Linked DNA regions of Oryzias latipes. The protein of the gene in region 2 binds, or shares a complex with, the protein of the main gene of each other region. Links are inferred from orthologs where the notes say so. Each region holds a gene or a part of one and is shown on either strand. Other genes may lie near its edges.

Region 1 (7,363 bases), on a different chromosome or scaffold from region 2:
AGTGGTTGTATGGACTCTTTTTTTTGTTTTTGCTTTTTCCAAACAAGTTTTCCTAGAGCAGCAGAAATCTGCGAGTTAAAACAAAACAAAAGCATGTTTCCTGAAAGGTGCAAGTACGTTTCCAAACTGATGCACAAAGTGAAATAGTAGCTGTTCTTCCTGATGCAGATTGTCTGTCTGGGTGTTCAGTGCAGAGCTGCTACTGTTTGTTTATCCTCTGCATGGCTCACCTTTCTTTTCCTGGACATCACTTCAAACTGCTGAAAGGTTGAGGTTCTTGTCTGATGAGTCGGGCAGCCAGCTCTGATTCGGATGCAGGGGGCGCTGCAGAGTCAAAGACCTTCAGGTCAAGTTCAATTCAGGAGGACTTCAGCGTGCGTGAAGGTGGAACCAGGAGGTTCCTGATCTGAGCCAGGAAATGGTTTTTCATGGCAAATGGTGTGAAAGTACGATGTTTGAGCGGGACAGTGTGTTAAACATGCTCTGTTTAATGGTTTGTGCGTTTTAGCTTTATGAAGTTCAGATGAACAGTGGTTCAGTTTAACTTTGCTCTAAATAAAATTTCTCTTCACAACTTTCATGTTGTTTTTTTGCTGCAGTCTGACACAAACAAAGATAAAATCAGCTTTGGGTTATTTTTTGACAGAACAGAGTGACTGGCACCAAAAGATGCTCTGAAAGTCCCTTCGTAACTGGAAAACTGGTCAAATTTCACTTTAAAGAAATTGTAGTTGAATCAAAACTTTGACGAGGCAGAAGATCTGCAAGTTAAGGTGATCAGTCATTTAAAACCAGGAATTACGTGAATAATTTCAGACCAAAGTATCAGCTTAAATTTTGCAAGAACCACCTCCACACACTTTAGCAAGACAACCACTGATCTGATCTGTTATTGTAAATAACACAAAGATTACAGGCTTCAAATCCTTTAAAGTGCATCAAAACTATTTCATGGAAAATTTTTCTATACATTAGACTGAAGAACAAACTGTTTAATCAAAAGAATAAAAATAAAATGAGGAAAAAGGAATCATTAAAAAAACTATTTAAGTATTAGAAAAAAAGGTAAAAATACTGTTGAATAAATAGATTACTAAAATTACATTACAAATAAGATCTTATTTTTTAGGCTTTATGTTATTCCAGAGGCACAAAGAAACGCCTCACTCTGAAATTTTGACAACAAAAAAGCAAGAGGACCTCCAAGATCACAAAAACATACACCACTGAATAGAAATGTTTTTTCCAGATGTTTTGGGTGATTATGGCTGTGAACAACTTATTTTTCCTAAAGGAAATTTATTTCAGAAAGCAGTGGATGCAGTTTATTTTTCAAGTAGACAGCTGCGTGAACAAAACCTGGGGAAGTTGGATTTACTACAAAGATGATTCTTAACCCTTGTGCTATCCTATGACCCCACCCTTACATTGACGTGTTCTCCCTACCATGACAAAGGTGGATAAAGGTGGAAAGATTTCATGTCATCCATGGACACCAGTGAAGATCACAAATCATTGAAGAAAAAAGGTTCAGAGCACTGTCTAGTGGGTCTAGATGACCCAACTCCCAACGTTAAAGTGCCTAGGATAGCACAAGGGTTACAATGGTAAATAGTGTTTACCATACTTATAGAGAAGTTTTCTGTCTTCCTTGAAGGCCTAAAGTGGTTTACAGTCACAATCCCATTCACTCATTCACACACAGCTCTGCTGACAAACACTGGCACCATCAACCCATAACCACCAGGAGCAATGTAGGGTTCAGTGTTGTGCCCAACGTTACTTTGACACAAGGCGGGAACCAAACCTCTGATCTTCTGATCAGAGGTCGATTGCTCTACCTCTACCCCCATCAGTACTATAATATATTTTTAGTTATAAGAATTCTAAATCTAAAGTAAGTATAAGTATACTTAAGTATTTGAGTATAAATACATCTCAAAAAAGTATTTCAGAATTTACAATACTTTTTTACAGTATTTTTAACTAAAGGTTATAGTACCTCCAACAAATCTTTTTACCTTGTGTTTATATTTACATCAGAATTGTATTTAGATCAATTTTTATCATATTGACATTTTGTTTGCTTTGTAATTGGCTGGCCTGGGACCAAAGATACAAATGCCATTTAACTCTGTGGTAAAATGTCCTTCAAATCCTTTGAACTGGCCATAAGTCTGCTAAAAAAACTGTCATGAACACCTCGTTTTCCTGTCATACTGTTTCACATTTTCTCTTGACCACCATTCAAGCACAAAAGCTCCATGGTGTGTAAACAGCTACAGTTTACCACCCGATTTCCCTTCATCTCATTCACTGCCCTCCTTTGAACATAGAGGCAAACAGCTGATGTCATGAATGCGTTCTGCAACGCTGGTTTTTATGTAAATTTGCCTGCTGAGTTCACCGAAGGCTTTATCAAAGGGTGCTCTGTACATTTGCAAACTGGCTTGGTTTCTTCTATGTTTGTCATGCCGAGTCATGACCACAAACAAGGACCTGCATGGTATCTGCAGGAGCTGGATAAAAGTAAAAAAAAAAACATGTCAACAAAAGAATGGTAGATCTGTTTCAACAAAACATAAATGCTGAAGAATGACTGCTTGCTAGAAGATATGATATAAGTGAAGTATCAGTCTGAATGGCTGCTTTAAAAATATAAGATTTCAGTCAATAAACAAGAGTTCAGATCCGATTTAGTTTCCTTTGTAAAGCTGTAAAAAAACGGACTTTTACTCATTTCAAGATAAATAGCATTTTTTTTAAGATAGTAGTTTGTCCCTAAAAAGTTAGGTAATGGTAAATATTACTGTATAGTCTTCAAAATTTGCCCTTGAAAAACTACATGAAAGCTGAATGAAGCAGGAGGGCAGCATCCATCTTGTTCAACCTGGTTCTATTGTATGAAGATCTTTAAAAGTTCAGTTCCTGATATTTTTTTTATCTCAAAGTAAACAAAGGTTCTGAACAAAACTCAATTTTTTTTAGGAGAATGTTGATCCATCAGGTTCAGTTTAAAAGACTCGTATTTACAGAAAGCTGCCTGGACCAGGCAAAGATGCCAAAACAACAACTTTAAGTCAAGAGAATGTTTCCCTAGTGTTTCTTTAATGTGTTTAAATTACAAAGTTAAAACAGACATTTACAGACAAATCAAGTACAAGAAAGCAGGTAAGCAGAAATAATTGAATTGGTTCCAAAGTGCAACATTTTTTTTCTTTATCTTGACAATGTCCAAAGATCTCCTAACTGTCAGTTCTTAAAGTCTTCGTGTTAAAGACATTTAGCTTCTGTAAAGAACCAAACCGGATCTTCTTCAGAGTCCGGGTTTGGTTGGAAGTCCTTGCGAGGAGAAGCTCCTTTAGCATGATCCAAACTCTTCAATCCACTTCTCGTACTTCTCCAGATCAGATGCAGACACAGACTTAGAAACTTTCTTTAAAGCAGACTCAAAGTCCTCCATGGTGGTGGGCATGTGCATCTCGTCCCGGGAGAGGTTGCGGATCTCATCTGGGGTGAGCCCCTCGATTCTGCGTCTCATGGCCATCAGAGAGGCGTCTCTGCAGAAGATGAGGCAGGGTTACAGAATGCAGACGAGCTTCTGCTGTCAGTCAGTCTGCGTTTGTCTGACCTGCACACGTTGGTGATGTCTGCCCCCGAGTAGCCGTCCATCTGCTCGGCGATCTTGTCGAGGACCACATTGCTGGCTAGCTCCAGCTCTCGCAGGTTGATCCGGAGCAGCTCCACTCTCCCTGTTGCTGCAAACATCCAACACACGTCATTTGAGCAAACTCCTTAGAACTGCTGCGAGACTGATGAGTGAATGTGTTTGACTGCTGTAAAAATAACATTAGTAAAATAGCATGATAAAGCCAGATGCTTTCCGTTCAAGTTTGAGCAGATCCAATGGTTTTGGGGAAAGAACATACTTGATGGCAATGGAATGTAAATTCTCTTCTCCAGCCGTCTCCTCAAAGCCTCGTCAATGTCCCATGGGAAGTTGGTGGCAGCCAGCACCATGACCATCTTTGATGGGTCTTCGTTCTCTGAAGCTCCACCAACACCTGCAGCACAGTGTCCAACAGTTCTACAACAATAGCTCACAAGGCAAAAATGATGAATGTGTAGCAGCAACACTAAGCTCCATACCATCCATTTGCACCAGAAGTTCTGCCTTCACCCTTCTGCTGGCCTCGTGCTCTTCTGATGTCCCTCTGCGGCTGCACATGGAATCGATCTCGTCAATGAAGATTGTAGTGGGAGCGTAGAAGCGCGCCTGGAAGAGTGGCTCATGTTATGACTAAGGACTATTGATGATAAACATTAAGAGATATGTGTGAAAAATGTCACCAGGATTAGTGAAGATAACACCTAAGTGTTGGAAACAAACAGGTCTACGGGTTTCTGGTAAGAACCCATTATTGGTGTGGAAACGGCAGCTTGAACATGAAAATAAAACACTTGAGAGCATAAAGACCAGTTTTCCTGACGGACTGTCAACTCAGCTGTGAACAGAGCAGTAAATCACAGCATCATCAGCACAAAAGATTAGGAAGATTATCATCACAGCATCATTAGCATAAACACGGAACATCACAGTCCCATCAACATAAAGGCGAATCAATACAGTATCAGCGGGAAAGAAGTCGAATGTTGAAGTATCATCAGCATAAAAGAGGAATGTGGTAGTATTATCAGCATAAAGGCAGAATATCACTGTATCATCTGCATAAAGGAAGAACTTAACCTATTTAAGATAGATTTCCTTAGACCTTTTGTCTTTAATTTAATTAATTATGGACTATTTCAAAGTGTTCTTTCATCAAATTTTAGGGCTAGAATGCTAAAAAAGGTTAAATGATCTAGGCCAGCTCAGTTTTTAATATTTCTTGGTTTAAGATCTTTTATCAACACAATTGCTGTGTTGAAGAAGGATTCCTGTAAGCAAACACTGACAGGTTTTTTCTGGATTTAGGAAAGAAACCAAACTAATGTACGACTGCTTGAATCCAACTCTTCTAGAGTCCTAAACAGTTCATGGAGGAGACTTAAAAATGTTCAAAACTTAATTTTTAGCTTATAAATGGCAAAAAAAGCATCTTGCATCAACCAATCAGAGAAACATAAAACTGTGTTCTTGTAGTTATTAGCAGAGACATTTTTTAAAATCTCAATAGAACTGCTGTCAAGAATTTAACAGAGATGGACCAAATAAACTAGTATTTGTAATACAGATTTGTCTAAAGTGTACTTGACCTAAAGACCCATGCCTCAAAGCACAAATTCTCTAATTGGAAGATAATCTGAAAAAGATCTCACCATTTCAAACAGCAGACGAACCAGCTTCTCAGACTCTCCTCTGTACTTGGAGGTCAGTGTGGATGAAGAGACGTTAAAGAATGTGGTTCTGCATTCAGTTGCAACAGCTTTTGCCAAGAGTGTCTTTCCTGTCCCTGGAGGTCCCACCATGAGCACCCCCTGAAGACCCCATCCAAGTCGTTTTAGGAAAAGGCAGGGAGTGGATAACTAAGCGCACACACATGCTTTAAAATCAGTACCTTCCATGGTCTTCTTATGCCTTTGAAAAATTCTGGCATCCACATGGGCAGCACCACTGCTTCCTTTAGCAGCTTTTTGGCATCTTCCAAGTCTGCAATGTCGTCCCTACAACCAAGAACAATAAGAGATCTGACAGATATCCAATTACCTGATTATTTTGCTCAAACAGGAGCGTTCTGCTGTGTTGGAAAGACGTTACTGTTACAATAGGCTGTTACCTAGCATCAGATACAGGTGGTGTCCATTTCTACTTTTGTTTTTTCTACTGAACCCCACCTCGGCTCTGGTGGTTATAAGTTAGTGCCAGTGTGCTTCGAGGAAGGTAGAAAAGCTCTATACAAGTATACGCCATTTACCAGAAAGAAAGTTGTTGACAGAAAACAGTTCGGGCGTAAAAACGTTTTCACCTGCTGACAGTGTTTTCCTCAAAATACACAGATAAACATCTGAGAATATTTATGTAAAATAAATGATTCATCATATTACTGTATACAAAATACTCTGTATTTGGAAACTGAAAAGCATGAAACCACAGCAACAGTAAGTTTGACATATTTAACGTTACAGATCAAACAAAGCGGCGAGCTGCAGGAGAGAAGCAATAAAGACTGACGAACCACTTCACGTTGGGGTTCTGTGAAATGATGTCTCTCTCCAGAGCCTCCACCAGGTCTTTGTCATATCCCGCCCCATCAAACCGTTTCACCTCCTTCTCCTGAAGAAAGCAAGCAGAAATGCAGCTCCTGTCGTCTGAGGGAGAAACTGGACGGATGGGCGGGCCAGCCTTTGATCAGCACAGCAAACAATGTTCTCACCTTATCTTCCTTTGCTTTGCCTGCTGCTTCCTTCTTCTCCTTGTCTCTGGGCGCTTTGCTGCGCTCTCCGGTGGGTCCTCGATGCGAGTGTCTCTGTTGGGCCTTCACCGCCGCGTTCTGCCGGTTGTTGGGGGATTTGCTGTCTTTGTAGGGGTTATCAGGGCGGCGGATGGGACAGGGAAAATGTCTGAGGAGAAAGAACACGAATATCTAATGAATGCACAAAAAAATAGGTCTCTGGCCTGAACTTCACTTTTATAATAAACCTTGGAATCCTCTGGAAACATTATTTAATCCATTACACTTAAGAGTTAATGGTAATTCATCCCAACCTTCTTTGAGGTTCACTTACTCCTAGACCTTTTTCAAACAGCATTGAAGAACCAAAAGAACCATCAGGTTGGATCTCATGATGAAATGAAAACAATGAAAGTTCAGAACTGAAGTTGTAGTCCTGCTGGTCCATGCGGTGCTACCGTGCTAGTGGGACTTTAATGCTGATCATGTGACCAGGATCTGATGTGTCTGAATGACTGCAAACAAAAACTAAACTAAGGAGGCTTCCAATATTTCTACCTGTGTTCACGTCTGCACGGGAGCAGCAGAAACACTAATGAGACAAGAAGGCTTTATGACACCATTTTTACATTAAAAGTCTATAAATCTTTAATCACTTTTTATATTTTGCTTTTATCTCTAAATTTATATACAATATATCATAAAAGTGTATTTATTTCAGTAAAAACAAACCCAAAGATTAAACAGATTTTTTCCCACATAGATATAATATAGTTCATTTTGAATAATATAGCTCACAGTTGATAAAAATGTCATTGTCAATATCTCAGGAAATTTGAATTTTATTAAAGAAAGAATGTGGTGCTACTATCAAAGTATCACTGAGTAGGACCAAGTCCTTGGTTGGTGGTCCTGTTGCATGCTGGGTAACATAGAGGTGTAGATCTGCAGACACCTGGTTTTCATTGTTG
Region 2 (7,857 bases):
GTTGGGTCATCTAGACCCACTAGACAGTGCTCTGAACCTTTTTTCTTCAATGATTTGTGATCTTCACTGGTGTCCATGGATTACATGAAATCTTTCCACCTTTATCCACCTTTGTCATGGTAGGGAGAACACGTCAATGGAAGGGGGGGGTCATATGGACCCCATAGGGTAGCACAAGGGTTAAAGGTGAAGCCATGTTTTCTCTACAGCTCTCCCTGCTGGTCGTGAAGAGAGACGACCCTTCTATTTGCTAAACACCAGCGTTGCCGCCGGCAAAAGCAAAACGGCGTGCTTCTTTGATCTTTGACTGGTTACGGATTAGCGCAACTCTTTCAACGTCATTCCAACAAATTGTGAAGCTTTTGTTAGAATTGCGTTAATTCCATAAGGCGGTTGGAAGAGTTGCGGCGGTCGTTGAAGGGTTAAAAAAACCCTGACTGTGTTTTTAGAGGATTGTGGGAAATGAGGCCTTCAGCTTTACATGCGTGTTTTCATATTTATCATCACCTGTGTGGGTGTGGTCAGGCGTCATGTGACCACTGACTGATGAACTCTGTTTTCTGCAGGACGACTGAAGCTGACGGCCTAAAGGACGGACGAAGGGGCAGTTCCCTGCTGGGGCGGTTTCCTGCTGGGGCGGTTCTGTTGGTTCAGGCGCTCCTGCTGCTGATTGGACCATGCACTCCTCTTGGCGCCCCCTGCTGGACTGAAGTCTGTCCGTTTCCAGAATCAGTGTTTTCTTTGAAAATTTGCACTTTAAGGTTTTAATTTTTGTTTCCAACACCCCCGTGAAGGAGGTACATGTTTCGTTTGTCTCTATTCAGATTTTGCTTTGAAGTTCTACTTTTTCTTCATATTTTGAGATAAAACTTTTATTTTGAAATTGGAGTGGAAAGTTCAGACTTGGAGAACTTTCCAGTTCAGAAGTTTTTCATTTGAAGAAACTGAGATTGGTCTCATGCTGCCTGCCTCTCCTGTAGCTTTCCTTTAACCAATCAGGGTACTTCGCTAATGCCAGACTGTCCAATCAGAGCAATACGAGGAATTGATCTCGTGTCCGAGCCGGTTTCTTCTTCTGCAGTTTGTGTGCTTTTTTTTGTATTTCCTTTTTAATAAAACATTCCACCACGAGCCTTTGAGTTTTCATGACATGAAGGGATATTTAAAACAAGATAAACACAGTTTCACTCAAAAGGGGAAAGTTGTAACACTTGTTCTATCCTAGGCACTTTACCATTGGGAGAGGGGTCATCTAGACCCACTAGACAATGGGTCATCTAGACCCACTAGACAGAGCTCTGAACCTTTTTTCTTCAGTGATTTGTGATCTTCACTGGTGTCCATGGATTACATGAAATCTTTCCACCTTTGTCCACCTTTGTCATGGTAGGGAGAACACGTCACTGGAAGAGGGGGGGGGGGTCATCTAAGATAGCACAAGGGATAAAATAAGACTGATGGAGTCAAACCAACAACCTTTGACATTCCTCAGCATCTTGCTCAAGGACACTTGGCAGAGGTAACTAGGAGCTGAACCACCAACCCTTCTGCTGGGAAGACAAAGGCAAAAATGTCTTTTTTTCCAAAAACTTTATTTTAGAAAAAACATCAAAAAGTAAACAGCAGGAAGTGAAGTCATCGCCGCCAAGTCCAGGTTCACGGAGCCTCGTCCAGCGGCGCCAAAACGAGCTGCAGCTCCAGGAAGGTGCTGCCCAGACGACCCACCTGCGGGGCGCGGCTCTTCACCGTGACGCTCGTGGTCTTCAGGAGTTTGCAGCACTGCTGGCACTTCCGGTGTCTGCGGACACAAACGGGACTAAATGCAGGTGGCAGGCTGGGACGGCGCCGCCCCCTGCAGGACACACGGACTCACCGCTCCTCACGCGTGATGTCGACCCCGACAGACGGCAGGGCCTTCAGGGTCTCTGAGATCAGAGCCCAGAAATGCCTCATGATGAGCTTCAGAGACGTGGAGCCGGTCTGGATGTAGCTGAGGACACGCATGAACACACGCATGAGAACGACCATGAACACACGCATGAACACATGTATGAACACAAGCATGAACACACGCATGAACACACGCATGAACACACGCATGAACACACGCATGAGCACACGCATGAGCACATGCATGAGAACGACCATGAACACACGCATGAACACATGTATGAACACAAGCATGAACACACGCATGAACACACGCATGAACACACGCATGAACACACGCATGAACACACGTATGAACACATGTATGAGCACACGCACGAACACACGCACGAGTACACGCATGAGTACACGCATGAACATATGCATCAGCACACGCATGAGCACACGCATGAACACACGCATGAACACACGCATGAACACACGCACGAGCACACGCACGAGCACACGCACGAGTACACGCATGAACACATGCATCAGCACACGCACGAACACACGCACGAACACACGCACGAACATACGCACGAACACACGCACGAACACACGCATGAGCACACGCATGAGTACACGCATGAACACATGCATCAGCACACGCACATGAGAACACGCATGAACACACGCACGAACACACGCACGAGTACACGCATGAACATATGCATCAGCACACGCATGAGCACACGCATGAACACACGCATGAACACACGCACGAACACACGCATGAGTACACGCATGAACATATGCATCAGCACACGCATGAGCACACGCATGAACACACGCATGAACACACGCACGAACACACGCATGAACACACGCATGAGCACACGCATGAACACAGGCATGAGCACACGCATGAGTACACGCATGAACACACGCATGAGCACACGCATGACACACGCACGAACACACGCATGAGTACCCTCATGAACACACGTATGAACACAGGCATGAGTACACGCATGAACACACGCATGAGCACACGCATGACACACGCATGAACACACGCATGAGTACCCTCATGAACACATGTATGAGCACACGCATGAACACACGCATGAACACATGCATGAACACACGCACGAACACACGCATGAGCACACACATGAACACACGTATGAGCACACGCATGAACACACGCATGAGCACACGCATGAACACACGCACGAACATACGCACGAACACACGCACGAACACACGCACGAGCACACGCATGAGCACACGCACGAACACACGCACGAACACACGCACGAACACACGCACGAACACACGCACGAGTACACGCATGAGTACACGCATGAAGATATGCATCAGCACACGCATGAGCACACGCATGAACACACGCACGAACACACGCATGAACACACGCATGAGCACACGCATGAACACAGGCATGAGCACACGCATGAGCACACGCATGAACACAGGCATGAGTACACGCATGAACACACGCATGAGCACACGCATGAGCACACGCATGACACACGCACGAACACACGCATGAGTACCCTCATGAACACATGTATGAGCACACGCATGAACACACGCATGAGCACACGCATGAACACACGCACGAACACACGCACGAGTACACGCATGAGTACACGCATGAACATATGCATCAGCACACGCATGAGCACACGCATGAATACACGCATGAACACACGCACGAACACACGCACGAGTACACGCACGAGTACACGCATGAGTACACGCATGAACACATGTATGAACACACGCACGAACACACGCATGAGCACACGCATGAGTACACGCATGAGTACACGCATGAACACATGCATCAGCACACGCACATGAGCACACGCATGAACACACGCACGAACACACGCATGAGCACACGCATGAGTACACGCATGAGTACACGCATGAACACATGCATCAGCACACGCACATGAGCACACGCATGAACACACGCATGAACACATGCATGAACACACGCACGAACACACGCATGAGCACACGCATGAGTACACGCATGAGTACACGCATGAACACATGCATCAGCACACGCACATGAGCACACGCACGAACACACGCACGAACACACGCACGAACACACGCACGAGTACACGCATGAACATATGCATCAGCACACGCATGAGCACACGCATGAACACACGCATGAACACACGCACGAACACACGCATGAACACACACATGAGCACACGCATGAACACAGGCATGAGCACACGCATGAGCACACGCATGACACACGCACGAACACACGCATGAGTACCCTCATGAACACACGCATGAGTACACGCATGAGTATACGCATGAACACACGCATGAGCACACGCATGAGCACACGCATGACACACGCATGAGTACCCTCATGAACACACGCATGAGTACACGCATGAACACACGCATGAACACATGAACACGCGCATAAACACACGCATGAGCACACGCATGAGCACACGCATGAGCACACATGAACACACAAGAGCACACGTATGAGCACACATGCATGAGCACACGCATGAACACGCATGAACACACGCATGAACACACGCATGAACACACGCATGAACACACAAGAGCACACGTATGAGCACACATGAGCACACGCATGAGCACACGCATGAACACACGCATGAACACACGCATGAGCACACGCATGAGCAAACGCATGAGCAAACGCATGAGCAAACGCATGAACACGCATGAGCACACGCATGAACACACGCATGAACACACGCATGAACACATGCATTAACACACGTATGAACACATGTATGAGCACACGCATGAACACACGCATGAGCACACGCATGAGCAAACGCATGAACACACGCATGAACACACGCATGAACACACGCATGAACACACAAGAGCACACATATGAGCACACATATGAGCACACGCATGAGTACACGCATGAACACACGCATGAGCACACGTATGAGCACACATGAGCACACGCATGAACACACGCATGAACACACGCATGAACACACAAGAACACACAAGAACACACAAGAACACACAAGAGCACACGTATGAGCACACATGAGCACACGCATGAACACACGCATGAACACACGCATGAACACACGCATGAACACACGCATGAGTACACGCATGAACACACGCATGAACACATGCATGAACAGACGCATGAGCACACGCATGAACACACGCATGAGCACACGCATGAACAAACATGAGCACACGCATGAGCACACACATGAACACACGCATGAACACACGCATGAAAACACGCATGAGCACACGCATGAACACACGCATGAACACACATGAACACACGCATGAACACACGCGTGAACACACGCATGAACACACGCATGAGTACACGCATGAACACACGCATGAACACACATGCACATACGCATGAGCAAACGCATGAGCACATGCATGAGCACACACATGAGCACAGGCATGAGCAGAGGCATGAGCACAGGCATGAGCACAGGCATGAGCACACGCATGAGCACACGCATGAGCACACGCATGAACACACGCATGAACACACTCATAAACACACGCATGAACACACTCATGAACACAAACATGAACACACACATGAACACACATGAACACACGCATGAGCACATGCATGAGCGTACGCATGAGCCCATGCATGAGCACACGCATGAGCGTACGCATGAGCCCACGCATGAGCACACGCATGAACACACGCATGAGCACACACATGAGCACACGCATGAGCACACGCATGAACCTACGCATGAACACACTCATGAACACATGCATGAACACACACATGAGCACACGCATGAACACACTCATGAACACAAACATGAACACACACATGAACACACGCATGAGCACATGCATGAGCACATGCATGAGCACATGCATGAGCACATGCATGAGCGTACGCATGAGCCCACGCATGAGCGCACGCATGAACACACGCATGAGCACACACATGAACACACACATGAACACACACATGAGCACACGCATGAACACATGCATGAACACACTCATGAACACATGCATGAACACATGCATGAACACACTCATGAACACATGCATGAACACACGCATGAACACATGCATGAACACACGCATGAACACATGCATGAACACACTCATGAACACATGCATGAACACACACATGAACACACGCATGAACACACGCATGAACACACATGCACACAGACACACATTTGAATGAGGCCTGCAGGAAGCAGCAGTCTCTCTTTCTTCATCTTAAATGTCCATTTTCTGCATGGGGGGGGGGCAAACGTTAGGATTCGTGGGCCACAAACGGTCCTAAAGTTTGACCGACGGGCCGAACCAGAACCGGACCAGAAGCATGAAAACATGCACCTCATAAGAGAAAGAAAAGAATCTGGACGAGAACATTCTAGATTCAAACATTTTGGAGTTTTTTTATTTTTTCTCGTTTTCGCGCCGACGGCTCGATTCCCTTCAGGAAAAAAAAAAAAAGAAAACGTAGGAAAACGCTGCGTTCATGGAACGATGGGAAAAATGACTGTCCGAGTCAGTTCTACCACTGAACACAGGTGTCTGTAGAGCACCGCCTACAGGGAGACTCTGGAATTACAGGCCAAATAAAATGAAGGATTATCAATAGAAATGATCCCAGTTTAGGGGGCAGTAGTCCCCCCCCCCCAGTTCTGGACTTGAATCGTTTGTGTTCAGTTGTTAATGTTTGTGTCAATCTGTGCGACTGTGGGCAGAAACACAACGGTCACCTCTCGTATTTGCTCTGCAGCAGCTTGTGGACCTGAGGAAGGAGGAGGGTGCAGGCGTCCAGACTCCAGAGAGACCTGCCCCAAACAAACAAACAAGCTGTGAGTGTGTCAACGTGTGTGCATGCACGTGCACGTGCTGCATCCTCACGGCTGCAGGTTGATCTTGTTCAGGATGTCCACCACGATGGACAGGTCCTTCATGGAGACGGCGGTTTCCAGAGCTTCCTGCAGACAGAGACGGCGTTTGAACCTTCAGCCACATTTACAAAAAGAAATCTGCAAAATCAGATTCAACAGATTTTTCCTGAATTTTAGATTCATTCGTTTCCACATTTATCAGCCGTTAGGTCGTCGGCTAAGTTTTTGCATTTCCCTGAAGCCAATGAGCAAGGCACTTCCTGCAGCTTTTTGTGGATAACCCTGAGCGTTTCTTTCCTCTGGTTGTGGAGCTCGCCGCTGCAGCGCCTCTCACAGCGGGCTCATGTGACCCGCCTCACCTTGGAGCCGTCCCGGGTCCACACGGCGGAGACCGTCTGCAGGTTCTTGAGCCGGCTGCTCAGGATCAGCATCATGGTGTCGTGGCCTTTCCGGATCTGCGCCAGAACCTCCTCGTCGCTCAGGGCGGCGGCGCTGGAGTCGTCCGATCCCGACAGGAAGTCGTCCACGTTCAGCCCGATGGGCTCGTTCCTGCTGCTCGGGATAATTCTGGGTTTGGGCTCGACCGGGTTCTGAGGGGGGGGCTGGCAGGCGGGGCCGGCGGCTGGACGCTTCCCGCTGGAGACGACGGTGGGCTCCACCCTCTGGACAGGCGTGGACGTGGCGAGGGCCGGAGTCTGTGACAACCAACCAACAAAGCTACACTTTTTGCTGAAACGGTGAGGAGGTGGGCGGAGCCGGAAGCAGAGCGCCACCACGCTGCCTTCACTGACCTGCAGCTTGGTGGGAAAACAGGAACCGTCCTTCAGCTGTCGGCTGACCGCCACGATGGTGTCTGACAGAGAAGAAGGCTTTTATTTTGGAGTGGTGGTAAACAGGAAGTGGAGAACCTGGCCTGACCCCGCCCGGACTCACCGGACTCGCCGTCGTCGGGCGGCGCCGGGAACGGCTCTGTCATCCGGGGCGGCGTTCGTGCTGAGGAGAACGGATCGTTATTGACCTGCTGTGTGGAAACGTTCAGGCG

The links.
Region 1: the proteins of katnb1 (region 2) and katna1 are in contact, whole or in part, in a crystal structure (PDB 5OW5), measured with the Mus musculus proteins. The link is inferred for Oryzias latipes from reciprocal best matches to the Homo sapiens genes KATNB1 and KATNA1. Residues at the interface, in NP_083081.2 of Mus musculus: Leu485, Val486, Asp487, Glu488, Ala490, Met491, Gln493, Ile494, Arg495, Gly497, His498, Met501, Phe502, Val504, Leu505, Thr506, Arg508, His509, Leu512, Asp513, Val515, Arg516, Trp519, Thr521, Asp542, Leu543, Ile546, Gln549, Lys550, Leu553; in NP_035965.2 of Mus musculus: Leu5, Gln6, Ile8, Val9, Val12, Arg16, Ala19, Leu20, Leu21, Gly22, Tyr24, Tyr31, Tyr41, Leu50, Lys53, Trp54, Gln56, Val57, Glu60, Ile61, Val63, Glu64, Gln67, Val68, Asp70, Ile71, Thr74, Leu75, Ser77, Phe78.

What each region holds. Positions count from the first base shown.
Region 1 is NC_019882.2:10,465,197-10,472,559, forward strand, and holds the end of katna1 (katanin p60 ATPase-containing subunit A1), read right to left. Parts: intron 6,562-7,363; coding exon 6,375-6,561; intron 6,275-6,374; coding exon 6,177-6,274; intron 5,665-6,176; coding exon 5,559-5,664; intron 5,479-5,558; coding exon 5,320-5,478; intron 4,277-5,319; coding exon 4,150-4,276; intron 4,065-4,149; coding exon 3,930-4,064; intron 3,759-3,929; coding exon 3,632-3,758; intron 3,561-3,631; coding exon 3,362-3,560; 3' UTR 3,087-3,361; downstream 1-3,086. UniProt on the Homo sapiens protein: Catalytic subunit of a complex which severs microtubules in an ATP-dependent manner. Microtubule severing may promote rapid reorganization of cellular microtubule arrays and the release of microtubules from the centrosome following nucleation.
Region 2 is NC_019861.2:37,562,854-37,570,710, forward strand, and holds the end of katnb1 (katanin p80 WD40 repeat-containing subunit B1), read right to left. Parts: intron 7,809-7,857; coding exon 7,749-7,808; intron 7,669-7,748; coding exon 7,607-7,668; intron 7,511-7,606; coding exon 7,175-7,510; intron 6,903-7,174; coding exon 6,826-6,902; intron 6,753-6,825; coding exon 6,678-6,752; intron 1,991-6,677; coding exon 1,874-1,990; intron 1,799-1,873; coding exon 1,657-1,798; 3' UTR 1,574-1,656; downstream 1-1,573.